Stegostoma tigrinum: one gene and its partners. The protein of the gene in region 3 interacts with the protein of the main gene of each other region in a pairwise test. Links are inferred from orthologs where the notes say so. Each region holds a gene or a part of one and is shown on either strand. Other genes may lie near its edges.

Region 1 (10,352 bases), on a different chromosome or scaffold from region 3:
AAAAATTCAGTCAAATTGCTCTTAAAAGAAACATGCTGACTGTTCTTAATTAACTCTTGTCTCTCCAAGTACAGATTAATTCTATCAATCAGAATAGTTTCTAACAGCTTCCCCATCACAATTGAAGTTTGTACCCTTTCCTGGTCTGGCTTTTATGTCACTCCACATCCACAGCAATGTGTTTGAAATAGATGAACAAGTCATTTAGTACTAGGATAATTAGGAATGGGAAGCAAACGTTGGTTTTGTCAGTTGACACCCACATCTTGTGAAATAATAAGAAACATAAGCTTCTTTAATCATGAAAAAGATGAAAGCAGCTAAAGTGAGTGTTGATTCTTTGGAGTCTGAGACTGTGGAATTAATAGTGGAAAATAGGAAGGCCAATTTGAATGTAGAATAGGAAAAAAGATTATTTGAACAGAAGTAAATTCGGAAAAGGCAATGTTCAATGAGACCTTGGTGTCCTCATGCACCATTTGCTGAAAGTAAGTGAGTGGGGACAGCTGGCATGAAAGAAGACAAGCCTTCATGGTGAGAAGATTTGAGTACAGGAACAGGAATGTCTTGGGTACAATTATACTGGATATTGCTGAGGACACACTTGGAATATTGTGTGCAGTTTTGGGTTCCTTATCTGGAAAAGGATGTTCTGGCTATAGAGGATGCACAGTGAAGGTTTACCAAGATGATTCCTGGGATGGCAAGACTGACATATGAGAAGAGATTCAGTCAGTTAGGATTGTATTCACCGCAGTTTGGAAGTATCAGGAAGAATATCATAGAACCCTGTAAAATTCTAACAGACCAGACAGGTTGGATGCAGGAAGGTTATTCCCAGCGATGGGGGAATCCAGAACCAGGGGTCATAAGATAAGGGGTAAACCTTTTAGGATTGAGATGAGGATAAATTTCCTCACCCAGAGTGGTGAAAATTACTACCACAGAAAATGGTTAAGGTTAAAACATAGCTGTTGTGGATAAAGGGATCAAGGGATATGGGGACAAGGCAGGATTAGGGTAATGAATTCAGTGATCTGCCATGACCCTATTGAAAAGCAAAGCAGGTTTGAGGAGTCAAAGGGCCTAACCCTGCTCCTATCTTCTATGTAAAACAAGGAAATGACAGAAACTTTGAACAGGGATTCTGTAGTGGAAGACTCTGTTAGCATCCAAAGAATAGTAGATAATCTGCAGGCAAAATGGGAGACAGGGGCTTAAAACAATCACACTTTGTTGATCTTTACATGGAATGTGGGTCTCATTGGCAAGGCCACCATTTTTTGCCCATTATCTGATTGATTCTCAAGTCCAATTCAGAAGGCATTTAAGAGTTAACTATATTTCTTTAGATCTGAAATCAAATGTAGCCAGGCCAGATAAAGTTAGCAGCTTCCTATTACCAAACAGCATAGTGAACCAGGTGACATTTTAGGACAATCAACAGTGGCTGCACGGTCACTATTGGGCTCACTTTTACAAATCCAGATTTTTTCAAAGCTCCATTCAAATTTCACCAACTGCCACAGTGGGATATGAACTCATATTCCTGCAGCATTAGCCTTTAGGTTCGAGATTACCAGTCTAGCCATGGTATCACCATGCTATCACCTCACCTGATTATGTAAGACAAAATACTTCAAAAACTCAGGAGATTAGAAGCTGACAAGACCCTCAATTGATTGCCCACATCCTAGAGACTTTAAGTCTCTAGGATACTGGATGAACTGGTTGGAATTTTCCAAAATTCCCCACATTCTGGAAACATCCCAGTGGATTTTTAGAAATAAAAATTAAATGTCTTTTTGAAAAGTGATGGAGTATAAAAGTATGTAAATCTTACTACAACTATACAGGGCTTTGATACATTCTGCACCTGGAATGCAGTTTTGATCTCTTTAATCCTGTTAATCCTGGCATGGACTCCTGGTCTTCTTGGGAAAACTCATCATGGACTCCTGGCCTCAAGGCATTTGATAAGGTTCCCCATGGTAGGCTCATTCAGAAGGTCAGGAGGAATGGGATACAGGGGAACTTAGCTGCTTGGATACAGAATTGGCTGGCCAACAGAAGACAGCGAGTGGTAGTAGAAGGAAAATATTCTGCCTGGAAGTCAGTGGTTAGTGGTGTTCCACAGGGCTCTGTCCTTGGGCCTCTACTGTTTGTAATTTTTATTAATGACTTGGATGAGGGGATTGAAGGATGGGTCAGCAAGTTTGCAGACGACACAAAGGTCGGAGGTGTCGTTGACAGTGTAGAGGGCTGTTGTAGGCTGCAGCGGGACATTGACAGGATGCAGAGATGGGCTGAGAGGTGGCAGATGGAGTTCAACCTGGATAAATGCGAGGTGATGCATTTTGGAAGGTCGAATTTGAAAGCTGAGTACAGGATTAAGGATAGGATTCTTGGCAGCGTGGAGGAACAGAGGGATCTTGGTGTGCAGATACATAGATCCCTTAAAATGGCCACCCAAGTGGACAGGGTTGTTAAGAAAGCATATGGTGTTTTGGCTTTCATTAACAGGGGGATTGAGTTTAAGAGTCGTGAGATCTTGTTGCAGCTCTATAAAACTTTGGTTAGACCGCACTTGGAATACTGCGCCCAGTTCTGGTCGACCTATTATAGGAAAGATGTGGATGCTTTGGAGAGGGTTCAGAGGAGGTTTACCAGGATGCTGCCTGGACTGGAGGGCTTATCTTATGAAGAGAGGTTGACTGAGCTCGGTCTCTTTTCATTGGAGAAAAGGAGGAGGAGAGGCGACCTAATTGAGGTATACAAGATAATGAGAGGCATAGATAGAGTTGATAGCCAGAGACTATTTCCCAGGGCAGAAATGGCTAGCACGAGGGGTCATAGTTTTAAGCTGGTTGGTGGAAAGTATAGAGGGGATGTCAGAGGCAGGTTCTTTACGCAGAGAGTTGTGAGAGCATGGAATGCGTTGCCAGCAGCAGTTGTGGAAGCAAGGTCATTGGGGTCATTTAAGAGACTGCTGGACATGTATATGGTCACAGAAATTTGAGGGTGCATACATGAGGATCAATGGTCGGCACAACATTGTGGGCTGAAGGGCCTGTTCTGTGCTGTACTGTTCTATGTTCTATGTTCTATGTTCTAAATCCAGCATGGATTCCCTGCTCCAGAAAGACTTTTACCTTTATTTCTTTATTTTTCTGATCTATAACTAATATTTTGTACCTAGGTATCTTTGTACTTAGCTTTATAAGGACTGCAATGCTGATCTTTTAACTTTATGCTTTCACTTTTCTAACTTAGACTTAAGATTTTGTACCTTGGTATCTTTGTACATTAGACAGTGCCAGAAATGGTGATTTTGTACACTTTTAGCTGTGCTCATATATCTCTGTACTTTGAGTATGTGACAATATACTTAATTCTAATTTTAATACAAGATACATATTTTCATTGGAATTAATTCAAGTTCCTCAGGCTGATTCCTAGAATGAAGTAATTGTCTGATGAGGAAAGTTTTGTATGAACATGCCAGTTCATTACACTGCATGAACCACTCCTCACCATGAAGGTTGCCGCCAACATCCTCTTTAAATGTAGGCAGTTACTGGGTCTGTTTGGTGTAGAGTGGCAAAGAAGAACTCTTCTTATTCTAACTAGAAGAATTTTTTTTAGTTGACAAGAAATCATTTATTGTATGTTTTCAACTGGTTACTTTGCATTGATACAGTACACAGAGACTTTGAGGAGGGCCAGATACAAGTCCTACTCCTTTGAGATCCGAAACTGTTGTGTCCACGAATCCATGTTATCATACTCAGATGGAAAAATCAGTAAAACATACGAATGACACATTCTGGCCTCACCCATCTTGTACACCTCGAGATAGAACCGTAGTAACTTTGTTTATTTAAACCTTTTATCCTCTCGCTAATGGGTGGTGCTCATGTAATACCTCAGTATTAATGCTTACAGACCCCTATACAACAAAGGTTAAGCTGGCTGTGTCGATATTCCTCGGAGTACTGTAAACATTTAGAAAGCTAAGATGTAATCGGACTGATAATAACAGTTTTGAGAGGGTGGATAGTAGGAGAACATTTCTACTCAGAATACCTCGGCGGGGGGGGGGTTAAAAAAAAGGTATTCCAGTTGAGACGTAGATGAGGAATTTCTTAATTCTTTTAGATGATTGTGAATCTTTGGAAATCCAAAGACAACAGTGGAGATATGGAATATATTCAAATTTGAGTTAAACAGGTTTTTGATTGATAAGGGACTCAAGTGTGATAGATGGTCGGGAAGGCAAATGAATTTCGGGCCACAGTCTGACAACCGTGAGCTTAGAAATGGGGAATGCAGCAGACTCAGTGCATCGAATGGTCTAGTTCTGCTCCTGCTTCTAATGATCTTACTCTATTTTAATTGATTCCTCAGCTGCCGGCAGCCTGTTTGCTAGATCAGGGTGGAATCTCTTTGCTGCCCTGGGGTGAGTCTTCAAATACAAACAACGAGGTCTTCCCTTGGAGTCTAGGCAGCGGGAAGAAAACCGGCTTTGGAGCATCAGCGTATTCCCAGGGATAGCAAGAACTGCAGATACTGGGGTCAGAGATAACACTGTGGAGCTGGAGGAACACAGCAGGCCAGGCAGCATCTGAGGAGCGGGACAATTTTGGGTCGGGACCCTCCTTCAGAAATGGGCCTGTGGACCCGAAACGTCAGTTTTCCTGCTCCTCTGATGCTGCTTGGCCTGCTGTGTTCATCCAGCTCCACACCTTGTTATATCCCAGAGTAATCCACTGCTGATATCTAATTCAGAACCACAGTATAACTTTGAAACGTAAACAATAGTCTCTGAAGAATATAAAATGTGAGGCTGGATGAACACAGCAGGCCAAGCAGCATCTCAGGAGCACAAAAGCTGACGTTTCGGGCCTAGACCCTTCATCAGAGAGGGGGATGGGGGGAGGGAACTGGAATAAATAGGGAGAGAGGGGGAGGCGGACCGAAGATGGACAGTAAAGAAGATAGGTGGAGAGAGTATAGGTGGGGAGGTAGGGAGGGGATAGGTCAGTCCAGGGAAGACGGACAGGTCAAGGAGGTGGGATGAGGTTAGTAGGTAGCTGGGGGTGCGGCTTGGGGTGGGAGGAAGGGATGGGTGAGAGGAAGAACCGGTTAGGGAGGCAGAGACAGGTTGGACTGGTTTTGGGATGCAGTGGGGGGGGGAGAGCTGGGCTGGTTGTGTGGTGCAGTGGGGGGAGGGGACGAACTGGGCTGGTTTAGGGATGCAGTTGGGGAAGGGGAGATTTTGAAACTGGTGAAGTCCACATTGATACCATTAGGCTGCAGGGTTCCCAGGCGGAATATGAGTTGCTGTTCCTGCAACCTTCGGGTGGCATCATTGTGGCAGTGCAGGAGGTCTCTGAAGAATGTTTGTTTTTGAGGGAGTAAATATTATGACACTTGAATGTGTTCTGTGATTCGAAACGCATTATCAAAATACATTTTGAACCTTGACGATACCGTAGTGGTAGGGACCTCCAATCGGAAATCTGGATGGGAGGATGTGTACAGGAAGAAGCGGTGAGTTGATTGGTCCTAGTTGGCGGCACGCGGTTCCAGGTGGACAATATGGCCGCTAGGGGCCGGTACCTGCTGTTTGAAGAGATGTGAGTTTCAGAATTGGAGAGTCTTGCGGATTTTTAATTACTATTCTGATAGATTCACTTGTTCGTCAGGAAAAGTTGCGAAGCTTGAAGCCGTTCAGTCATACATAAAGAGTAAAATCTGTTTGGGGAGAAGACAGTTGCCTGACTTTTATAAATTGAGAATGCAGGAAATAATCAGCGCGTTAGTAGTATTATCTGAAAAGAGAAACGGAGTTAACTTTCAGTTCCCTGACTTTTCATCAGAACTGGATCCGTTATAAACATAGCATTTAGAGGTTTCAGATATTCTAAACGGCCCGTTCAGAGACATTATTATATACCTCTGGAGCAAGTGGGACGAACCCAGGTCTCTTGGCTCAGAGGGAGGGACATCACCATCATGCCACAACAGGTGCATTGGATGAAATTGAAAAAGTAAAGTTGGTACCATGTTCCAGTTCTGATCAAAACACATCAACCTTAATTCTGTTATTTGCATGCATCGCCAGGCTTGTAGAACATACGTTGATTTGATAAATCAAATCAAGATATGTCTATGTTTCAGATTACGTACATTCACATTATTGAGTGAGCTGAATGTTAAGAATTCATGCCTGATCAGAAGAAATTTTGGTCTGTCTTTTAACAATATTAAACGTCTCTGGCTTTTGCAACATTATTTAGAAGCATGTTCACAAGCATGTATTAAATTCTCAAATAATCTAGGTAAATAATTTGTATTTTGCAAGTGATTTGAAGGGTAATTGATACCAATGTTTTTCTGAAATTAATGTTGCTAAGGTCCGTATATGATGATTTACAACTAAAGTAAGAAGAGTGATTAATGCAGTATGGCCTTCAGAATGGACCTTCCATTGTTTGTCATAAGGAGAGGCTGGGACTTCTTTCCCTGGAGCATAGTAGGCTTAGGGGTGACCGTTATATATGTTTATAAAATCATCAGGTGCATACATAAAGTGAATAGCTGAGTCTTTTCCCTCGGGTAGGGCAACTCAGAACTAGAGGGCATATGTTTCAAGTGAAAGGGGAAAGCATTAAAAGGCACCAAAGGGATAACATTTTCACATGCACAAACCACCAGGGGAAGTGGTAGAGGTGAGTACAATTGCAGTGTTCAAAAGACATCTGGACAAGTACACGGATAGGGAAGATTTAGTGGGATATAGGCCAAATACAGGCAAATGGAACTGGTTCAGTTGGGAAACCTGGGTTAGCATGGATGAAATGGGCCGAATGGACTGTTTCCATGCTGTATGCCTTTATGACTCTTATTTTTAGCAGGATTTTTGGGGTACAACTTTGCTTGGATATGTCATGGGCAAACCCCTATTGATATGAACTGCTCGCTGTCAAAGTTCATTTAAACATATTTGTGACGTGTATTTTGTTTTAAATTAAAATCTAGGTCATAATTGAGCTTTTAGCACTAATTTAACTTTCATCAAAATTATTTACTGCAACACTTCCAAGAACACAGGCCAACTGTGGCATCCTAGTTGCTGTATTCTAGACATCAATGAATTCAGCACCGTGGTAGATCTTCTACCAATCTGTGTAAATGAGCTCACTTGAGTGTTGCAAAGATCTCTGTTTCCCCCGTCTTTTCTCCTAAGTACCACACATCAGTTGAAAGAATGTGCAGGTGAATTGTTTACAGGTTTTTACCAGTACTCTTCTAACCAGTTCTGAGAATGTCTGAAAATTTTTGTCTTTCATCTCTGCAGGAAAATGGGTTCTGCCTTTGGTTAGCAGATCAAGAAGTTGCCAAGTGCAAACTAATTGAACCTGTGCAACAGAGTTTTAAATCAGCACTGGATTGTTGATTCAGGTGAAGCATGAATGTTTCAAGTAAGCATAATGTTGAAGTGCATTCTGTTTTATTGACTGCTTGCTGCTTGAGAAATGATATGCCATAGTTGTAGTTCAAAGATATTTGAAGGGAATGATATTTGCAGGTATACAAGTACTGTAGACAGTTGAATATTTTAAGCCCTGATCTGTTTGAAGTTCCAACAGCCTTTACAAGCAAGTTAAACTCAAACTTGCATGTTAGCCTCAAAGGGCACATCATCCCATTATCTCTGACATCATTTATATATTTGGGCTTTGCTCATCCCTATCTTTGTAACCTCATCCGGTTCTACCATCCAGAATATCTCTGTCCTCTTCTGACTCTGGCCTCTCGTGCAATCTGAATTTTAATTGTCCCACTGTTGATTGTGCCTTCAGCTGCTAAAGCTCTTAAGTTCTGGAATTCTCTCCTTCACCTCTCTGCTTTTGTACTCTTTCCTCTCATCTTTTGAGATACTCGTTAAAATCTGTTTTGTTCACTTGTTTTATTGTCTCCATTGTGACTGTGTTTAATTAAAAGCCTTTATGAGGCATTTTTTAAACCTTTTACTATGGTAATGATGCTGTACAAATGGACATTCACAGTAGTGGTGAATGTGTGGAATAGACTGTCTTTGGTAATTGGAAGTGGTGAATTCTTTATATATTGAGATGCAAGTGGCATATTTGTTTTAGGCTGTGATCAGATTATCTTTTGCAGCCCTTTTATTCTATAATTGGTCATGTATTAGAAGACTTTTTTCTGACTTTGGTGAATATCTGCCATGAAAGTCTTCAATTTTGGATTAAGAAAGTCTTCTTTGTGCGGATGTCAGCTTTCTGCGATCTGCCTTTTGATAAAGCAAATGTTAATTTAAGTGTGGATATTGTTTGTAAATGATTTATCTGTTGGCTGTTCTGCCCTGCAGGGTCAAATGCTGGAGCCATGTCATCAAACACCCTCTTTACAAACTCGGCAAAGAAACGAAACAGCTCTATTATTTATAGTCTTGAAAGCATGCCATCAGAAATTCCAATTTCAAACTTTGCAGGACTTTCCAACCGAGGAAAGAAGACCATAAACAGTGACATTGAAGGATTTCCACCAAACAAACGCCACAAAGCAGAACAGGACACTAGAACAAATGAGGATCCTTTTGGAGATAATGAAGATTTCACTGCAGATGATTTGGAGGAACTTGATATTCTAGCCTCACAAGTTCTAAGTCAGAATGTGACCAATGTGTCCAATGCTATGAAAGCATCAGTGAACAATGCTAATAACAGAGGACCATTAGGACTAACAAATGACGCAAGTATAAAAGTTGCTACTTTAGCAGCTGGATCATTAAGAAATGCAAATGCAGTAAAGGAACTTCCTGGTAATGTGCAGGTTTTTAATTTCAGGACTTTCAATATTATACTCAAAGCTGATGTGGTAAATTGTAAAGTTTTAAAACGATTATGTAGTTAGTTTTCTCCATTCTTTTGCCATATTACAATGACATGAGCACCAGTTCCAAGTGGGCATGATTCACATGTACACATTCTCAAATTGTTGTGGCAAACACTTTGACAGAAGGGGGTGATTTACGAGAGGCATTTAGTACCACAGCTGAAATTGATCTGCTCACTAGGCAGCATTCACATGCACGCATTTCCCAGTTCATGACATTTGCTGCATTGACAAAGTGGTGCTGAGGCTAACTTTTATGACCCAGTAGGTATTCAAACTAAGGTTGCTTATTAGTGATTAGGATTGAATGTGGAACATTTTTGGCCATCGTACCCTGGCTAAAGTCTCCATAGATTTGTTCTTGTTGACTCATGAAGTAACTAACATGTTATAACTTTTAAATTGGTACAACTTTGATACACCTGTATACAGTTAAATTAGATGCAACAATAACTTATTTGTGTTGTGCGCCTCAGAAAAAAGTATTTTGGTGGACTTCATAAAGAGAAGAAGCAGGCATTACAAGGCACTCGTCAGACCACAGCTGAACAGATTGGGTTCCTTGTCTAAGTAAAGATATACTGGCATTGGAGGCGGTCAAGAGAAAGTTCACTAAGCTGATTCCAGATAGGGAAGGACTGTCTTATGAGGAGAGTTTGAATTGATCAGGCCTGTATTCTTTGGAATACTGAAAAATGAGAAGCCACCTTGTTGAGTTATAGTAGATGCACAGAAGACAGGATAGATGTGGAAAGGATGTTTCCTTTATGGGAGAGTCTGGGATTGGGGACATAATCTCTGAATAAGGGATCACATATTTATGAGGATTGTACATCAGTGGAATTCATTCCACAAAGGGTTGTTGTGGCTGAGTCATTAAGTGTATAAATTTTTAATCAGTAGGCCAATCTAAGGTTAGCAGGAAAAGGCAAGAACGTGGAGTTTAAGATTAGTAGATCAGCCGTGGTCTTGCTGAATGGCAGAGCAGACTCATTGGGCTGACTGACCTGGTTTTGCTTTAGTCTCGTATGGTCTTAAATATGTCAAAGACCATGCAGGCTGGAAACTAGAATCTTATTTCAAGAAAAAGTGTTTGAAAGTGGGGAGAGACATAACTAAGCACAGTGATTTGATAAGTGTTCCAGAACTATAGGATTTATTGGCCTTTGAGATTGTTGAGCGAGTTGAAACCAAAATTCAGAATCTGTAGAATAGAGGATAAATCCTGTCGCAGTTGGATGAAGTAAATGGTGGACAACTTTGAGAACTAGCTCTGATTTCTGAAATCAAATCGTGAATGAAGTGATCCATTTGTTGAAACGTGTCTCAGCAGCAGTGAGTGGAAGTTTGGGACACAAGATCAAAGAAGACAAGATGAATTTGAATGTTGAAGGGAGACTATTTTATGCTTGAGATTGTGTGCAGCA
Region 2 (10,352 bases), on a different chromosome or scaffold from region 3:
TCTAGTAAATCCCTTCTGAACCTTCTTCAGCTTAATAATACTCTTCCTAGATCAAGGCATTGAATTGCAATATGTAAATGATGCTTGTAAATGTGCACACTCAGTGTTCAAACTCTAAACCATTATTGATGCATTAATGGAGGCCAATGAAAGAACAGGTTAAAACATCAGAATTTTTTCAGGGTGGGAGTTGGAAAATGCACCATACCTTTATTGTTTTCAGTTTTCTCATCAGGAAATGTAGACACAAGGCCAAAGGAACAATTCCAAGAAATCCAATGAAGTAAAACCATTCCTGGGCTTCAGTCTCACTTTCAAAGCAAACATTGTTCATAGGGTATGGCAGGCAGTACTGAGATTTAGATTTCAAGCTAATGCCCAATATATCTTTTAGAAAAAAATCCATCATAAATCTTTATGAATGCAAATTGACGTCAATTGGGGACAATAAATTAAACAGTTGACACATGTATGATTGAATAACTGTGACATGTTCAGGAGAAGAATAAAGTTAGCTGAAAAGCTTTTGGCCACCATTGCCTGGTTGCTGGGTAGGGAGGATATGACATCACAAAAGAGCATTTTATTTGCTATGATCACGGCAATATCACACTGAATGTACTTGCCTTTGGTGAATATTGCGAGGCTGATTCCTAATGTGAGGGGATTTGGTATTCAGAAACTGAATAAACTAGACCTATCTTCCATGGAATTTTAAAAACGACATGATATAACTGAAAGATGTAAAAGCTTTAAGGGCTTGCCAGTGTAAATGCTGATGTTCCCTCTGTCTCAGAATAAGAGGTTATCCATTTAGGACCAGTGATTGTGAATCTTTAGAATCCTCTATCCTAGGAAGTTGGGGTTTCTCAGTCGTTGAATATATTCACAAGAGTTGATAGATTGTTGGGTACTAAGGGATACAAGGAGTATGTTTGAATAAAGACCTTTGTACACTGTGGCTTACCATACACTTGATCTCTCACATCATGAAATATCACGGATGTAAATAAAGCTTTAGGGCAGTAGCTAATTTATACTTCACATGGAACAGGAGGTCAGAAGTGTACAACTTGGATTCAGCATATTTTCACAACTGAGAGCAAATAGCTGCAAAAAACAACCGTGACTTAATTCTGAGATAACAAGGTGTAGAGCTGAATGAACACAGCAGGCCAAGCAGCAGGAAAACTGACGTTTCGGGCTTAGACCCTTCTTCAGAAATGGCTTAATTCTGAACCCTTATACCGGAAATTGGCAACTGTGTAAGTCATAACAACTATGAATATTCCAGCACTTACTCCTGAAGAAATGAAATTAAATTTGAGACTGAGTTGCAAATTCTTCCAGTCTTAGAAGCAGAATTATGCAATTGCCACAGAGTTGAGCAAGAAACCTGTAAAAGTCCAGAGTAGCAACTCTGTTATCAGTATGAGAGAAAGCTTGGCACTCTAGATCTCAGCAAAGAACCAAACCAAACTTACAGTTTTTAAGGTTTTGAAGACCCAATTTAAATACTCTGCTCATGTTATTTATAAATGCTATGTGTTTAACACTAGAGACCAGGAAGGCAAGAAGAATACTGACGGCAATGAAATGTCTAGTTGAATCTTATGAGTCAGGGCAACTGAACGATGATTGCATCAGAGATAAGATAGTCCTAGAAAGAAGTGATTCTGCTTTGAGTGTATGTCTGCTGAGAGAAGAGAAACCTATTATTAAGGAAACTGTTGATGTGTAGAATCTCTGAAGTGTTTAATCATCAATTGAAGTGTATTGATAGGACAACTGATGAAATTATGTATTATGTTGAGAGACAATCCCAATCTTCCAAGCACACGACAACTGAAAGGAAGGATGATTTGAGGAAAGGACAACATAAAAATCCAGTTTTCAGTACTGGATTTAAATACAAGGAGGACAACACAAGAAAGAAAAGAAAGTATGTTTAGCACAGGGAAAGCAGACTGTAATTGCAGCAAGCTGAATCACTTTACATACAAGGATTTTGTGAGAAAAAAGAAAATTAAACTGATAAAAGATAGTTGCTGGAGAATTATCAGCTGTTGATTCTGACAAAATACTCCACATCCTAGAAAAAAGTTAGTACTGTATTGTCCCAAGGCGAAAAAAATCTGAGTGTTGAAATGATGATTCCGGAAGCACATGAAGCGAATCAAATTAAACTGTTCTTGTGCAAATCACAAACTTCGCAGACTTTTGTGAACTTTCCCAAGACGATAACCTGGAAATTAAGTTGTAAAAGGCAATGTTTAGGCTCCATGATGCAGAGCAAGAGCAAACCAAATTGATGTCCAATAATGTGGAAATGAAGATGAACTTTAATTCTATACGATGGGTACTAAGCAAAATTCTTGAATTTCGATAGATAAAAACTGTTACAGATAGGGAGAGAGGTTCATTTAATTATTTTACATTTGTCCTCTTCTGTTCACAAGTGGAGGAATTTAAAACAAAATTGTATTTACTTTTCCTTTTGAGATAGACTATGCTGTATTTACCACCCATCCCAAGACCTCTGTTGGTGCTTCTTAATTTTCCACTTGTCCCACAATATACTCTGTAGAATGTTTAAAAAGTGTAGGTTTCTTATATGTTAAGTCCCAGGCTATGGATGAAGCTCTGAATAGGCCTCTTTACCCTCACTGGAATAGATTACCTTGTTAAAACTAATTACTATTACGTAGAAACAGAAGATAGGAACAGTAATGTGCCATTCAGCCTTTAGGCCTTCTTCACCATTCAATATGATCATAGCTGACCATACAACTCAATGCTGTGTCCCTGCTTTCTTCCCATAGCCATTGATTTTTTTTAGACCTAAGACATATATCTGAATCCCTCTTGAAAACATTCAATGTTTTGGCATGAACTGCATTCTGGCACGCAGAATGCCACAGTTTCACAACTTTCTGAGGGAAGAAATTTTCCTCAGCTCAGTCCTAAATGGCCCACTGCATATCTTTAGACAGTGATGCCTGGTTCTGGAAGTTCGGACTGCTGAGAATTAGATCAGCTGATGTTAATAACTACCAGTGAGACTTTGGAATGCCTGAAAGAGCATTTCAATTGCCTTGGCATTCCTAATATGATAAGCAATAACAAGCCTCAATCCATGAGTTAAGACATTTAATAATTGCTTGGAAAATTCAGCACTACATATCCTCTCCACATTACACCCAATCAAAATGGAACAGCTAAGGCAGAAGTTAAAATTGTCAAAGGATCATCAAAAAATATATTGGATTCAGCATAAATGTGTACAAGGGGTATTCTTAGAGGGAGAAATAAACCCTCTGAAGCAGAGAACATGGTCCAGATCAGCAACTAACGTCATGCTGCGTGCTCCTTACAGCAGCATGACTGAAGCTAGCAGCAGCAACAGTGCATGATAAGATCAAAGTATAATGACAGATAGCTAAATTCCGCTTTGATAAAGGTGACAAATCAGTGCCAATGTTAGAAAATCATCAGAGTACAAACAATTCAATACATTCAACATAAGTCATTAACCTTGGCAATTTGAAGACTTGAGACACAAGTCATCATAACTTTACATTGTGAAAGCCAATGACCCCCAGATCTATCATTGCAACTACATATGGAAAGATACAACCAGAAATAACTGATGAAGGAGATTTGATTTGTCAATTGAACAAGGTACTGAAACACCATCAGTTCCAGGGGTCAACATTTCTCCAAAACAAAATGTACACAAAGTGTTCGTACATATCATGCCTCTATATCAGATAGGACCTTAAATCAGCCCCTAGAGGACCCAAAGGTATACACTACCACTGTGCCATAAGACCCTCAATTCCCAAAAATGCAATGAATTTACAGCACCAATTATCACAGCTGCCATTGTAGCAATGTTCCCTAGAAAAGTAATGACACGCCTATAACTGCCGACACCACACAAATGGCCAAAAACAACAATTAAAATACATGAATGATTTAAAGATTTATGTCCAGTACAGGTACAGGACAGGCAAAATTGGAGTTGACTAGAAGGACAAAGATTTCCCCCCCGCGCATGACAATTTTCTTTATGGATTACGTTCATAACTTGCAAAAGATCTACTCATGTTTTCCTTTCTTACAGTCTTATTGTGCATGCAATTTTTTAAAAATGAAAGATTGGATTGTTTGGACGAAAATATTTTGCAGCTTATGATGCATCATATTCATGTGACCTATATATCAATATATAAATATTTTAGACAATATACACACCACATGGAACAAACGATTGACACTGAAGAAGTGAAGATAAATCAGCCATGATCTAACTGAAACGCCGTTGACACAACCGCGTTTTACCTGGACATCATATCGATCGTGACGTCAGGTGATGTCTCACGCACGACGCCGGGGCCGTGGCTCCCAGAATGCCTGTCGCGCAGAAAGCGGGCGGGGATCTCTATGGAAACGGGGCCTAACGACAAAGAAAGAAATCTGAAGCTACACATCTCCAGTACTCAGTAGAGAAGTTAGAAAAAAAATCGAGCCGACAGGAACAGTCTGGGGAAGAGTAGGGACGGGGTGTGGCAGGGGCAAACGTGGATTGATTCCGCGTTCAGTCACCGGGCAATGCTCGGCGTTTGGGAATCGGGGAAGGCCCGTGAACGGGACCAAAGCTAGGCGGTATTGGATACAGTGGAAATATAGTATTTTGTTGTGTTTCATGACCGAGGAAGATAGGGCCCCATCTAGACTATAGATTCCATCAGCATCATGTCATTCAGAGACCTGAGGAGTAAGGATAATTTTCATGTCTGAATTTAGGCTGTGGGTAGAAGTAGCGTTGGTTTTACAAATATTCGGGTTCAGTAGGTCTGCTATTTAACCCTGGAGGATCATCATCTTTGTATATTATTTATATTCAGAAACAGCCTCCAACTTTTTAAATTTTAGGATAGACAGAGCTACGGAGACAAAAATGATCTTAGATTACATAGTTTCTCTTACACTATTTACCCAGGAATGAATTTTGTCATTTATAATGAGAATAAGATTTAATTTGCATTATCTGCAAGATTATTCCTTACACCATCCTCTGTTTTGTAAAAGCAGGCTGAGGAGCACAATAATTTGCCATTAGTTCCATATTGTATGGATGCATCAATTATTAGTACTTTCTCAGACTTGTCAATATTAATCCTTAATACATTATTTAAGAAGAAAGCCTCTATAATCAGTGTACAGATGTAATTTGATACTACAAGAATAGAGTATCCTTCTGAGAAGTGCAATAATGGGAAAGTTCCAGAAATTAGCACCTCCAAGCTGCTAATTAACTAATGTATGTATAAACACTGATGACCTATTGTATTTCAGACTTCACTGAGATGATGAGGGCTCTGGGGTATCCCCGTTTGATCTCTATGGAAAACTTTCGGATTCCGAATTTTCCTTTGGTATCAGAGATTCTCATTTGGCTCGTTAAAAGGTTTGTGATCTTAAAAGTGCACTTTTATAATAACCTTAGTTATTCAATATCTATGGAATGAATTATGAAAGTTTTGGTATTGAATTTACTTTGGTATCTGTACCACTAACCAAGGCTGTATAGTTTTGTAGCAGCACTGTCTGTTTGGAAAATTCATCATTTTTCTCTCAAACAGCATCAACATCTTCTGAAATATCTGGATATTCATCTAGTTTGATCATCTTAGGACCTTGCTATGTGCAAATTGGCTACAGCATTTGTCTGCATAAAAACATGAATACATATTAAAGTGACTGCATTTGAGGCCAATGCAACTGTGAGATGAAAAACCACGTGCAGCTGCAAAATCACATCAATGCATTAATGTATTTCTGTGGTTGGTATAGTAGGCCATTGCAGAGAGGGAGTCATCTAGAATATTCCCAGTGATTTTGCTTGTATAAATGGAGTGTTTAGATTGAAAATTTTGCACTAAATCTTTACTTTTATGATAAGACTGTTTAAGACATAATAAATGAGAAATCGTAGCAGACCTTATGGCACAAGTCTGTTACTGTAACACTCATCCTTCAGCTGATGTGCACTTGTTCATTACGTCTTGGGAGTACGATATAGAAAAAAGGGAGTGCAGGTAATTCCGATCTTTGGTCTGTTGAGATTTAAAATAAGCAGTTTGTTCTTGCTGGAAAGTATGAGGTTTGGATTCTGCTGCACTACATTTGTTACAGTTGACAGACTATACCATCACCTTCCATTTTAACTGTGTTTTGGGGATAACCTTAAAAGTTCTAATTTCCTTTAAAAGGGAGGGGGGTTGTGAAAATAGTACACTGGAAAGTAACTTACCTTACTTGGAACTTGTTTTATCAGATACGAACCCCAGACAGATATCCCAACAGATGTAGATACAGAACAGGACCGAGTTTTCTTCATCAAAGCTGTAGCACAATTCATGGTAAGCAGCAAATAGCTCTTCCTCAGCCTGGTGTGTGAAAACTGTAGGACAGCATGAATCTGGGATGAACTCCAGAAACCTGCAGTATGTTTTGTGAATATATTTACTTTGTATTGCAGGCTACTAAAGCTCACATTAAGCTCAATACTAAGAAGTTATACCAGGCTGATGGATATGCGGTGAAAGAGTTGCTGAAGATTACTACTGTTCTCTATAATGCTATGAAAACAAAGCGAATGGACACAAGTGAGGATACAGAAGAAGATAGTTCAAAATTCAAATTTGACTTGGGGTCGAAGGTGAGTAATGCAACTTAATTCCTCATTCAGGACAAGATTAGCACAGATGTTTGTTGTTTGAGCAGTACAATACAAGAGAACATAAGGGCAAATTCAGCAATGCCCCTCTGCCACCGAAATCAATTCTCACTAAACCATCCCTCAGGACCAGGGCTATTGTTTTCTAGCCCCACCTATGACTCATTACCCTTTCCAGTGAAATTCTGCTCCACAGGAGCTTTGCCTTTTTGAATTTGCACTGTATTTTGACTGAGAGTATGTTTAACAATCTAGCTTTACTGTTCCATCAAAGTGTTGCCGCAAGGTCAAGTTAGCAGTTCAACACTCAACCATACAGGGAACTTAAGTGAAACTTTCATTTTGGCCTACAGCAGTGAGATGTTTTAATCCTGACCATGTGGTAAATATGTGTTATACACCTGTTACAACCCAATGATTTGCTCCTGGACTGTACAAAATATATAAATAAACCCTGACAGTGCACAAATTTTGGTGCTAACATAGAGTCTGTCTTCATGATGTAAACTGCCCTTAATAATATTTGCAGAGAGATGTTTTGTAGCTTATATTTTCCATCTTCTCACCTATTCCAGATATCAGATTTGAAAACTGCCAGACAACTAGCTTCTGAGATTACCTCCAAAGGAGCAACTGTATTTGATTTGTTGGGAAAAGAAGTAGACCTGAGGGTGAGTCAGCAGGTTTCTGATCAACTAGCATCTGACAACTGGAAGATAACAATATCCCCAAATAAAAGATAAATGGTTTTACTGTGTTCAGTGTAAATTTGTGACACTAGTTCAACAATGTCAAAAAACTTGCTGCAGTTTGTATGACCATCATAGGGAGGACTTGCTTCTGAACTTTTGAATATCAAGTCACTGGTGAACTGACAATTCAAAACCATAACAAAATGCTGTGGATTCTGAAAATCAAAATAAAACATAAAAATTGGAACCCTCAGCAAGCTACGCACTATCTCTGGAGAGGGAAACACAGTTAACATTTTAGGTGCTTACTGGCTCACTTCAGAGAATTACATAGAAATTACAGTGAGGCAAAGGGTATCAAATGACTGGCCTAATTCTGAAATTTATGCTTGTCAGGAGCCTCCTCCCACTATTTACTTAAATCAGCTTTTTGACATAATCATTTCTCTGTAAACCAGTTGCCTGACTTCCCTTAAAATGTTTTGCTGCTACTTAGTTACTTTAAATGGAGCTGAGGTACATGTTAGTGGGACAAAATTTCCAACATATGAGTTTGACACAACCAGCAGCAGTTGAGAACTGAAGATGATAGCTTTGCTAAAAGCTATGAGCTGGCTGACACAGTAACAGGGGCTGGATTTTTACCTCCCTTTGTAATTGTACGTTGTGTAGTGAAATATTGAATTTTTAAAAAATATATTATTGTCTGCTTTTTTGACCCTACAAAACTTGTATATTGTCAGCATGGTTCCAATGGTCTTCAATCCTCCTGAAGACTTGCTCTCCCATGACAGTGGCAGAGCCCTCAGTCTTCACTTCCATCTGTACTGCCTTTCTGTTTACCAATAACTCAGTTATGATCAAGGCCACTTTTCTTGCTTTTACGCTTGTCAGACATAACTGTCCATGTCATCTCTGTACGATCACCGAATGGTACACAGACATTGTATTGTTTGATTTGTTAGGCAGGCTTTGTTCATGTTTTTGTAGTATGGTTTTTATTCTGTATCTTCCTCCTCTAGCAAGTATGCTTGAACTTATGCCTCAAGTAGCCTTTTGTTTGGCACCTGAAGCATTTAACTTCCCTAAATTTGCATAGTTCTGTGAAGTGGCTTCACCCAGATCCGAAACACACTGCTTATTTGGGGTCTATGTGAGGCTGGTGGTTTAATATTCTAAATGTTCCAGTTCCCACGATCATTTAAAAACCGAAAGAACTGCAGATGCTGTAAATCAGGAACAAAAACAAAGTTGCTGGAAAAGCTCAGCAGGTCTGGCAGCATCTGTGAAGGTAAAAACAGAGTTAATGTTTCAGGCCTGGTGACCATTCCTCAGAACTGATGTTGACTGGGAAAAAGTTAGTTTATGTGCAGAAAATGGGGACGTGGGTTGGGTTGGAAGTAAATGATAGGATATAGCCCAAGAGGAAAGAAAGACAGTTGGGCAGACAAACGAGTTGCTAACGATCAGGCTGGGAGGGTGAATAGTTGTTAATGGGCACTGTTAGTGACTAACAGGGTGTGTGTAATGGCAGGCTATGTGGTAACAAGGCTTGGTGTGTGGGATAGGGGGCTGGGACATGGGAGAGTTTAGGCCCTAAATTTGTTGAACTCAATATTGAGTCTGGCAGGCTTTAGGGTCCTCAAGTGGAAAATGAGACGTTGTTCCTCCAGCTTGCATTGGGCTTCGCTGGAACACTGCAGCAAGCCAGAGACAGAGATGTTGGCCAGGGAGCAGGGTGGTGTGTTAAAGTGTGTTAAAATCCACAAACAGGACTGTCCGAGCAGATCCATTGTTTCAAGATAACAAAGTGTGAAGCCGGATCAACACAGCAGGTCAAGCAGCATCTCAGGAGCACAAAAGCTGACATTTCGGGCCTGGACCCTTCATCAGAGAGGCCCGAAACGTCAGCTTTTGTGCTCCTAAAATGCTGCTTGGCCTGCTGTGTTCATCCAGCTTCACACTTTGTTATCTTGGATTCTCCGGCTTCTGCAGTTCCCATCATCTCAGATCCATTGTTTCAACCTGCTCGTGCCTCACAGAACTCATCTCTTTCTGCCTTGACTCAGTCTTCTTCACCTGGTCCAATCCCTGCCTACGTATATCCTTGTTTCCTCTGACGCCTTATGTGGGTTTCGAAACTTCCAGTTTACCGGTTCCAACTACCTCCTCTTTACCATGGACGTGCAATCCCTTTACATGTCCCTTCCCCACCAGGAGGGTCTTGGGGCTCTCCGCTTCTTCCTGGAGCAAAGACCTGAACCATCTCCACCCACCCACCACCCTCCTCCACTTGGCTGAGCTTGTCTTCCCCCTCAACAACATCTCTTTCAATTCCTGTCATTTCTTCAGGTAAGAGGGGTTGCCATGGGCACCAGTATGGTTCCTAGTTATGCCTGTCTCTTCATGGGGTACGTGGAAACTTGTTAAAATCCACAAACAGGACTGTCTGGGCAGACCCATTGTTTCAAGATAACAAAGTGTGAAGCTAGATGAACACAGCAGGCCAAGCAGCATTGTTCCTGTCCTGCTCTGTCCCCCACCCACAATTCTTTTTCCGATACATCGATGATATCATCAGTACTGTTTCCCTCCCTTGTCTGGAATTGGAAACTTCATCAATTTCGCCTCCAATTTCTACCCTGCCATCATGCTCACCTGGTCTACCTCTGACTCCTCCATTCCCTTCCTTGATATTTCTGTTTCCACTTCTAGGGATAGATTGGCACTAATATCCACTACAAACCCACTGACTCCCATAGCTATCTGGGCTATACATCTCACACCCTGCTTCCTGTAAAGGCTCCATCCTGTTCTCTCAGTTCCTCTGTCTCCATCGCATATATTCAGATGAGATCAACTTCGACAAGGAAGCCGCTGACATGTCCACTTTCTTTCTCAACCGAGGATACCCC
Region 3 (10,352 bases):
GAGATTGATAGGTAGTGATAATAGATAATCGCTCGAGCTATAACGTGACAAACTGAAACCTGGAATGGCAGTATGGAGAAACTTATGCCAATAAGAAAATATAAAAGTTAATAACAGGCATATCCAATAGACACATTTAATACACAACACGTTAACTGAATGATTAACATAATAAAAACAGCTTGCTCAATACATACAACAGGTATGTTAATACTAAAAAAAACACCACCATGGGATAAACAGCTCCAGTAAAATATGATCAGAAAAGGTCATTGATTGGATAAAACAGAAATGCAGCATCCTAAAATTGAACTGTGATGTTGTTTTTAAAACATAAAATTTAATGGCAATGTTGTTTGTAAAAACGTTTCAACTTGATGTGCCCGCTCCTAAAACAAGCTCTTGACAGGGTTCATTCTCAACAGCTCTTGGAAGGAAGCAAAGCAGAGAGAAAGAATTAGGATAATTTCACAATAATCTCATTCAGTTTGGAACCAGCAAAAATGCACAAATTAACACAAGGCTTTACTATTGAAAATGCAAGTTAAAGTCCAAGTTCTGACAGCCTCACAAAGTAATAATCTGGCCAGAGCTCCAATTGCTCCCATAGCTGAATGGTGAACTGCTATATCCCTTTTATTACCTTATTCATGTGTTGAAATTCTAATTGCTTTGCAACCTATCCCTTTTAATGACACAGAACATTTATTTTATTCTTCCATAGGAAATAGGCATCACTGGAAAGACCAACATTTGTTATTGATCCCTATCGGTTATCAAGATAGCAGTGAATTTGCTTTCTTGAACTGCTGCAGTCCAAGTGGTGAAGGTACACTCGTGGAGCTATTAGGAAATGAATTCCACACTTCTGACCCAGTGATAGTGAAAGAACAGCAGTACAGTTCCAAGTCAGGACGGTGTGTAACCTGGAGGGGAACATCTGGGTGCTGGTAGTCTCATGTGTCAGCTCCCTTTGTGCCTCCAGGTGGTAGAATGCATGAGCTTAAATGGTGCTGAGAAAGGCGAGATGTAGCACTGCATCTTGCACATGTTTCACAGTGCTTCTATTAAGCATCAGATGTTAAAGGCAATGAATGTTTAGTGTTGAGCTGGTGGATTGGTGACGATCAAGTAGGCTGTTTGGTTTAGGGCAGTGTCGCTCTTCCTGAATGTTGTTGGTGCTGCACTCATCTGGGCAAGCAGACATACACGCTGCTTTCTTGACATTGGATTGGCTTTGCAAGATCAAGAGGTAAATTGCACACTTCACCTCAGAATTCCCAGCCTTGGCTCGTTCTTGAAACCAGTGTATTTAGATATTCCTCCAAAGGGTCACTGCATCTAGGTAATGAATACAACGATGCAGATCCCAAAATCTCAGGTTTGGTTCTTCTAACCTAAAGTGGTCATTCACCCCTACCTGTAGTAAATTCCATCTGTCAACAAGAGAATGATTTGCTTACTCTTACATTCTGTTTACCGCTTGTTAGCCAATCCTTAACTCATGCCAGTATCTATCACATGTGCTTTAATTTGCTTAACAGTCTTCTGTGGGAGACTTCATCGGAAGCTTTCTGAAAATCCAAGCGTACAAAATTCATCAACTCTCCTTTATCAATTTTGTTCGTAACATCCTCAAAAAAGTTTGTCAAATATGATTTCCCATTCAAACGTCCATGCTGACTATGCCCAATCAGATGATTTTTATCCAAGTGTCTATTTATCCCATTCTTTACTATATGGTATTTTCCCTATTACTGATGTAAGAATGGCAGGTCTGTAATTCCCTGTTTTCTCTCTCGCTGCCTTCTTAAAAAATGGGTGACATTCTGCCAGAAACATTTCAGAATCTATCAAAAGCTGGAGGATGATCACTAATATATTCTCTATATCATCAATCATTGCCTTCAGCCCTGTGGGATACAGAATATCAGGTCAAGAGAACTTAACAACTTTCAGTCTTATTCATTTTTCCAGAACAACCTTACTACAAATACCAATTTTCTTCAACTCCTCATTGTCCCGAGTCAGTTGCATTTCTAATGCTGGGAGTTTCTTACACCTTTCTCGATGAAAGCAGACATAAAGTAATTATTTGTCTTCTCAACCATTTCTCCATTCCCCATTATATATGTGCCTGACAGACTAACATTCGCCTCAGCCAAACCTTTCCTCTCTACATACCTGAAGCTTTTACAGACCACTTATGGTTTTTTACAAGATTGCATTCATATTCTATTCTCCTTTTCCTTATGAGTCCTTCCTTGCTATACTCTTAAAAATCTCCCACCCTTACGTTTAGTACTATTTGTGGCAAATTTATAAATCTTTTAATCTTACACAATCCTTAATTTCCTTGTTAGCCAGATTTAAGTTTTTATACTTTGAAGGAATGTATAGTTAATGTAAGGCACGTAATATTTCTTTTAAAGCTATCTACAGCATATGTATAGTCATGCCTGTTAATGTATTTTCCCAATCCCAATGTACTCCATGCCATCATTACTTCCTAATTCAAATTTTACATCCTTGCGTCAGATTGAAGTGCCTCACTTTTAAACATAATACACAATTTTATCATACTGTGGTCTTGCCACTTGTCAGTTCAAATCCGGATATTGGCCAAGTCTTGCTGCATTTAGACATGGATGGCTTCAGTGTCTGAGAAGTTGTGAATGGTACTGAACATCAGGCAAGTGTTGGCAAACCTTTCTATTTCTAATGTTATGATGGGGGGGGAAGGTCATTAATAAGAATGGTTGGGCCAAGGGCATTATCTTGAGTAACCCTTGCAGAGATATCTGGAACTGAGATGATTAACGTCCGACAACCACAACCATCCTCCTTTGCTTGGGTATGACTCCGACTCCCGAATCAAACTGATTCCAGTTGTGCAGAGCTCCTCGATGCCACACTCGGGCTGAAGTGCCACAGCCTTGATGTCAAGGGCAGTCACTTTCGCCTAATGCCTGGAATTTAGTTATTTTGTTCAAGTTTGAACCAAGGCTGTAATGAGATCAGGAGGTGAGTGGCCTTGGCGGAACCCGTACAAGGCATCATTCAGCATGTGAGATAACAAAGTGTGGAGCTGGATGAACACAGCAGACCAAGCAGCTCCTTCGGAGGACAAAAGCTGATGTTTCGGGCCTAGACCCTTCATCAGAAAAGGGTTTTCTGATGAAGGGTCTAGGCCCGAAATGTCAGCTTTTGTGCTCCTAAGATGCTTCTTGGCATGCTATGTTCATCCAGCTCCATACTTTGTTATCTCAGATTCTCCAGCATCTGCAGTTCCCATTATCTCTGATCATTCAGCATGTTATTGCGGAACAAGTGCTGCTTGCAAGAACTATCGATGATATATGGGATGATATATGACTTTACTAATGATTAACAGTAGACTGATGGGGAAGTAATTGGCCACGTTGGATTTGTCCTGTTTTTGTGTACAGAACATATTCGGGTAATTTTCTACATTGTTGGGTAGATGCCAGTGCTGTGGCCACACAGAAATCTTCAGCAACTGCTGGAACTATTGCTGGAATGGTGTCAGGGCCTACAGCCTTTACAGAACCCAGAGCCTTCAGCTATTTCTTGATATGATGTGGAGTGAACTGAATTGGATGAAGTCTGGTATTTGCGATGCTGGGGACCTCTGTGAAAGGATGGAATGGATAAATCACAGCAATTCTGGCTGAAGACTGTTGCAAATACATCAGCCTTATCTTTTGCGCTAATGTGTTGGGCTCCCCCATCATTGAAGATGGGAATATTTGTGGAGTCTCCTCTTCCAGCGATTTGTTTAACTGTACACTATCATTCACAACTGGATGTGGCAGCACTGCAGAGCTTAGATCTGATCTGTTGGTTATGGAATCATTTAGCTCTGTAAGTCACTTGCTGCTTACGTTGTTTGGCACATGAAGGTGACAATTAATTTTTAGGAATCCTCCTGTTTTGTTCATTGAGCAAGGATTGATCCCCTTTCTTGGTGATATTGGAAGCCTGGGATATGTCAGGCCAATGAGGTTAAAAATGTTATTAGCTGCCAAAAAAACTGCCTTGTTATCAGTTGCTTCCAGAACGTTGCATAGTTGTATGTGCTGGAAAAATGTCTAATTTACTTAAGTTTAACAGGTATCATTCAATATAGTTTAAACATTGGAAGGGGGATAGAAATAATTTTAAATGTTTCACACGAAACATTCCGCCACTGTCTAGAATACAATGACTGAACAATCATTTTTAATATTGTAAACCTATTCGATCTCAAGAGCCTTGTCAACACATCAGGAGATCACTACTACCAGAGCCAGAGAATCTATTCTCCTCAGCCGGGCCTGCGACAATGGTCCACCCACCACCCCATGGACCACTTAAGGCCACACTCCTCACGTGTATGTCAGACCCATCCCCACCATCACTTACCACGCTCCAAGTTAGATCCCCTGAGTCTCATACAATTTCTCTCTGCCCAACCGCCATGTTGCTCCCGAGGCCTTTTCCCTCCCCCCCCCCCGCGTCAGAGCCGAGAGTAGCTCCACCAATCAGCACGGACAGGCCATTCCACCAATCAGAATGAACAGTCCGTTCCATCCTTTGGTGCCGTGTGACGGCTTCACCAATCAGAGTAAGGATAGCATTTCACTGGTCAAGGGTGTCCAATTAGAACGGGTAACACGCTCCACCAATCATAATGGCGCTATCCCCCCACTTCGACACAAATATCGTGCCCACTTCACCAATCAGAGAACACTGTCCGCTCCGCCAATCGGAGAACGCAGTCTGCCCAATCAGGGTCTTCGCTAATCAGCGGTGCTACCGCTCCGCCAATCAGAATGCAATCTTCTTCACCAATGAGGGTAAAGCTATCCTGGCCCTTTTGATACACGGGGTACAGTTTGTTACTGTCCCCTAGACGGTTCATCAACGAAACGTTTCACTTGTAGCTTGTCCGTGATCCTGACGTAGTGACTTCGGACAAGTTGTGAAGTGACTTCAGCGCAAATGTGGTAGACATGGACGGTATGGCTTAGTTATTTCGTGTGAAATTTAAGGGTTTTTTTTCCCCTGAATTACTTTCTAAGGCTGATTTGGAAAGATTTAAAATGTGTTGCGTTAATCGCAATCTCAAAAGTTTAGCCTTTAGGGAAAAGCGGCAGCAGACGTTTCAAGGATGGAAAACACGTGAAAACGTGTAAAATGATGCGGCTTCATGGGAAATAAAAATGAATATTACTAAGCTAAGAATTTGTGAGACGCCCTACGGTTACACATTTGTAGAGGTGGCTGTAATGGAGTAAGAGGCCCCAACGTGCATCATAGGAATCTTAACGAACAAAATTGTACATTATTGTACAGTGCATAAGGAATTATTGTTCTTAAGCCGAAGGTAAATCGGAAGAGTAAATTCTGAACTCGACGCCCCCCCCCAAAAAAAATCCATCTTTTATTGACCAAAACGTACTGAACAAGATGCGCAATAACGTGTTTTGGAGTCGGTCAGGACGGAAAGAGGCCCTTCGACCCATCACGCGCCTCTGTATCCTAGTCGCATTTTTCACCCCTTGGCCTGGAGTCTAGTGTGTTAAAACGTTTCGAGTGTTCATCTAAATAGTTCTCAAATGTCTTGCGGATTTCCCATTTTTACCACCTTTTCAGGCAGTAGGTTCCAGGTGCGTTGGGGGGTAGAAAACAGTATCCTCAAATTCCCAATAAACTTTCTGCACCTTTAGTTTGAAAACTGCGCCCTCCAGTTAGTGAAAACTCTACTATGGAAATGTTTCCCTCTATGCACATGAGAATTTTGGAGTACTCAATCAGATTTTCCCCCTCAGCCTTCTTTGCTCTAAGGAAATCAAATCTGACTTTCAAATAAAATTACAGCACAGTAACAGGCCCTTTGGCCCTCCAAGCCTGTGCTGATCCAGATCCTCTATCTACACCTGTTGCCTATTTTCTAAGCATTTGTATCCTTCTGCTCCCTGCCCATTTGTGTATCTATCAAGATACATCTTAAATGATGCTGTTGTGCCTGCCTCTGCCATCTCTGCTGCCAGTGTGTTCCAGGGACCCACCACCCTCTGTGTAAAGAAATTTCCATTTATATCTCCCTTAAACTTTTCCCCCCTCACCTTGAAATTGTGACCTCTAGTAATTGAGTTCCCCCACTCTGGGGAGGTGGGGGAAGCTTCTTGCTCTCCACCCTGTCTTGTCACCCCCTCAACCTCTGCCTTTCTAATGTAAATAATCCCAATCTACTCAACATCTCTTCATAGTTAGCACCCTACGTACCAGGCAACGTCCTGGTGAACCTCCTCTGCACCCACTCCAAAGCATCCACATTCTTTTGGTAATGTGGTGACTAGAACTGTACATAGTATTCCAAATGTGGTCGAACCAAGGTCCTATACAACTGTAACATGGCCTGGCAACTCTTTTACTCAATACCCCGTCCGATGAATGAACGCATGCTGTATGCCTTCTTGACCACTCTATCGACCTGCATAGCAGCCTTCAGAGTACAATGGACCTGAACACCCAGATCTCTCTGTACATCGCTTTTCCCCAGGGCTTTTCTATTTTCCACATAGTTCACTCTTGAATTGGATCTTCCAAAATGCATCGCCTTCAGCAAAGCTAAATGGCTGTAGCCCAGGCAATATCCTGGTGAATCTCTTTTGCATGCTCAAATGTACAATCAAATCCTTCCTGTAGTGTGGAAACTAGCACTGCTCACTGCTCCAGCTGTAACCTAATTAACACTATATTCAGGTCCAGCATAACCTCCTTACTCTTGGCTGCTATACCTTGACGAAGAAAGTATCCCATATGCCTCCTTACTTGCTGCCTTCAAGGATCTATGCACACACTCAGCAAGATTCTTCTGGACTTCCTCGAGTTCTTATTATTCAATATGTATTCTCTTGCTGGTTAATGCACCCAAAATGCATCAACTTGTTTACTTTTTAGGATGAAACTCCAATTTATCTATATTGTCCTGTAGTCCAAGGCTTTCCTCGTTGTCATTGTACTGTGGTAAACCACTGGACACAGGCTTCCAGCCATAGCACAGTGCATCCTTTCATCACCACTCTGTGCTTTGCCAAATTGCCCTGGATCCCATGGAATCTGAGCTTCTTAATGAGTGTCCCATGCTCGAACTTGTCTTAAGCTCTAGTGAAGTCTATTCTGGCTGCATCAACTATATCACCCCCATCCACATACAAGTCACGTCTGTGGAAAAATTTAATCAAGTTTGTTAGTTATGATTTCCCCACTTACAAAGCTATGCCCACTATCCTTGATTAATTCAAGGGGACTTTAATTTTGTGTCTCAATTTTCTTTGCCTATCATTTCCCTACCACAGATGTCAGCCTCTCCTGCCTATAGTTTCCTGGTTTATCCCTACACCCTTCATGAATAATGGTATTAAGATTAGCTGTGCTCCGGCACCTTTTCTGTGGTCGGAAAGAAGTTGAAAATTTTCATGGCCCCTGCTCCCGTGCCTCCCTAAGCAGTCTTGGATACATCTCATCTGGGCCTAGGAAATTTTCTACATTTAAAGCTGCTAAAGCCACTAATATCTTCCCCCTCGATGCTAATTTGGTCAAGTGCGTGCATGGTGCATGGAAAATTGTCTCAGTAACTTGATTGTGTTACTTCAAAAAATTCAGAGGGCAGAGCAGTGGATGTGATCCATTTGGACTTTAGTAAGATGTTCAACAAGGTTCCTCGTGGTAGACAGGTTAGCAAGTTTAGATCACACGGAATACAGGGAAAACTAGCCATTTGGTTCCGAATTGGCGCTCAGATGAAAGAGATGATGGTGGTGGAGGATTGGTTTTCAGACTGGAGGCCTGTGACCTGTGGTGTACCACGAGGATTGGTGCTGGTGAACTGATTTTTGTCATTTATATAAAAATAATTTGGATGTGACTATAGGAGAGATAGTTAGTAAGTTTGCAGATGACACCAAAATGGAATTTGTAGTGGGCAGTGAAGAAAATTACCTCCTGTACAATGGAATTTTGATCAGATGGGCCAATGGGCTGAGGGCTGGCAGATGGAGTTTAATTTAGATAAATGTGAGGTGCTGCATTTTGGAAAGGCAGATCAGAGCAGGATATATACGCAATAGTATGGTCCTGGGGTGTGTTGCTGGACAAAGACACCTTGGAGTGCAGGTTCATAGTTCCTTGAAAGTGAAATCGCAGGTAGATAGGAAAGTGAAGAAGGTATTTGGTATGCTTGCCTTTATTGGTCAGTACATTGAGTATAGGAGTTGGGAGGTCAGGGGCTTTGGTTCAGCCACTTTTGGAGTATCGTGTGCACTTCTGGTCTCCCTGCCGTAGGAAGGATGTTGTGAAACTAGAAAGGGTTCTGAACGTTGTCAGGGTTGGAGGGTTTGAGCAATAGGAGAGGCTGGACAGACCAGTGCTATTTCCCTGCAGTGTCATGGATGGGGTAAATGGGAAAGGTCTTTTCCCTTGGGTGGGGGTGGGGCGGAGGCCAAAACTAAAGGGCATAGGTTTAAGGTGACAGGGGAAAGATTTAAAAAGAACAACTCTTTCACAAGGTGGTGCATGTCTGGAATGAGCTGCCAGAGGAAGTGGTGGAGGCTGGTACAATTACAACATTTAAAAGGCATCTGGATTAAATAAGCAGGCTTAGAGGGATATGGCCCAAATGCTGGCAAATGGGACTAGATTTATAAAGGATATCTGGTCAGCATGGATGACCAAAGGGTCTGTTACAGTGCTGTTTAACCCTGACTGTAAGTAAATCACAGTTCCACCCCCACCTCAATTTCTGGACCTTCATCGTCCTCCTTTATTGTGAATGCAAATGCAAAATACATATTTAGTATTCAGCTATGTCTGTCTCTCTTTGGGCTATACACACATGGTACTACTCTTTGTCTGTTTATTCTTGTGCCCCACTATACATCTTTAGATTTTTCTTAGTTTTATCCACCACTGGTTTTTTGCTCTCCTAATTTCCTATTTAAATGACCCCCTTGCACTTTCTAGACTCAAGTGCACCCGCTCTTTTAAGACTTCAGTATCCTTTACCTTAACGCTTCCTTTTTTCTTGTTGACATCTTCATACACTTCCTGAAGAGGCTGATTAGAAAACACCTAATAGCAGACCAGCATGTGGTGTCCATTGATTATGGTCCAGGTCATAGCTGTGCAGCATGGAAACAAACCCCCATCAACATTATTGCTAACGAAACTAGTCCCATATGCCTGAGCTTTGTTTCACTTAAAACAAAAGATTTCCAAGGGACTGTTGTTGTCTGGTGGTAATATCCCTACCTCTGAGGTGGGTGGTCTGGGTTCGAGTCTGAGCAGGCTGATTAGAAATATCATCATCTGTAAAAAAACATGTCCCAGAGGGGCTTTTGTGCTGCTGTGGTAGTGTCTGTACCTCTGAGGCCTGGGTTCAATCCCCACTCAAAACATGTTTCATATGAATGTACTGGTTTCCTGCACAGCTATGCTGCTTCTGGGGTGCTATCCCTCGAGTAAAAGCCTCTGGTAACAAGCCGGCTACATGTCCCAGTTGTGCAAACAGGACACAATCGTATTGCTTAGATAACAAGGTGTAGAGCTGGATGAACACAGCAGGCCAAGCAGCATCAGAAGAGCAGGAAAGCTGACATTTCTGGCCTAGACCGTTCTTCAGAAACCCTCTGCAGTTCCTACTATCTTTGAAACAATCGTATGCTTAGTCTGTTTTGCGCACACTAGATGCAGGACTATCTCTAATACACTTGAAGTGCCTTGGGACATTAAAAGACCCTCTTATAAATGCAAGTTAATACCTGTAGTTAAGCATTAGATTTTTTCTTAAATAGCTGAAACTTAATACATTTTTTTGTTTACTAGCTCCATGTCCAAGCTCAGGCTTTGTAACTCCAAGAAGACAAGACTTGAACAACAGTGTCAGAAAAATAAAGGATACTGCTGCAGACTGGCATAACTCCATGCTGAAATGGGAAACACTTAATGATGCAGGATTCTCAGTAGCAAATAAAATTGTTAACATTATAATCAACACCAGGTAAGCCTTGCAGAGTAAAGTTTCACATGTTGAAATGTTAGTGAAAAAATTTAATTTTAAAACGTGCCCTCAGTGGTAAATTGATTCAAACTAACTTATCTCAGCTTTCACTCTAATGCTTCTGTTCAAGCTGTTGTGCTTTTAAAGGGATCATTATTACACTGCTACAGTCTTTTCGAAACAAGAAATAACACAATAATAATTTCAGTATCAGAGATAATGGGAACTGCAGATGCTGGAGATTCCAAGATAATAAAATGTGAGGCTGGATGAACACAGCAGGCCA

What was found.
Region 1: the proteins of cinp (region 3) and atrip interact in binary tests that used the Homo sapiens proteins (3 or more experiments, as listed by UniProt). The link is inferred for Stegostoma tigrinum from reciprocal best matches to the Homo sapiens genes CINP and ATRIP.
Region 2: the proteins of cinp (region 3) and cluap1 interact in binary tests that used the Homo sapiens proteins (3 or more experiments, as listed by UniProt). The two-hybrid records come from large-scale screens. The link is inferred for Stegostoma tigrinum from reciprocal best matches to the Homo sapiens genes CINP and CLUAP1.

What each region holds. Positions count from the first base shown.
Region 1 is NC_081364.1:20,426,570-20,436,921, reverse strand, and holds the start of atrip (ATR-interacting protein), read left to right. Parts: upstream 1-5,543; 5' UTR 5,544-5,639; intron 5,640-7,363; 5' UTR 7,364-7,474; coding exon 7,475-7,487; intron 7,488-8,398; coding exon 8,399-8,851; intron 8,852-10,352. UniProt on the Homo sapiens protein: Required for checkpoint signaling after DNA damage. Required for ATR expression, possibly by stabilizing the protein.
Region 2 is NC_081376.1:31,624,605-31,634,956, forward strand, and holds the start of cluap1 (clusterin-associated protein 1 homolog), read left to right. Parts: upstream 1-4,389; 5' UTR 4,390-4,758; coding exon 4,759-4,780; intron 4,781-5,361; coding exon 5,362-5,473; intron 5,474-6,343; coding exon 6,344-6,428; intron 6,429-6,547; coding exon 6,548-6,727; intron 6,728-7,320; coding exon 7,321-7,416; intron 7,417-10,352. UniProt on the Homo sapiens protein: Required for cilia biogenesis. Appears to function within the multiple intraflagellar transport complex B (IFT-B). Key regulator of hedgehog signaling.
Region 3 is NC_081363.1:38,566,370-38,576,721, reverse strand, and holds the start of cinp (cyclin-dependent kinase 2-interacting protein), read left to right. Parts: upstream 1-4,869; 5' UTR 4,870-5,015; coding exon 5,016-5,022; intron 5,023-9,891; coding exon 9,892-10,066; intron 10,067-10,352. UniProt on the Homo sapiens protein: Component of the DNA replication complex, which interacts with two kinases, CDK2 and CDC7, thereby providing a functional and physical link between CDK2 and CDC7 during firing of the origins of replication.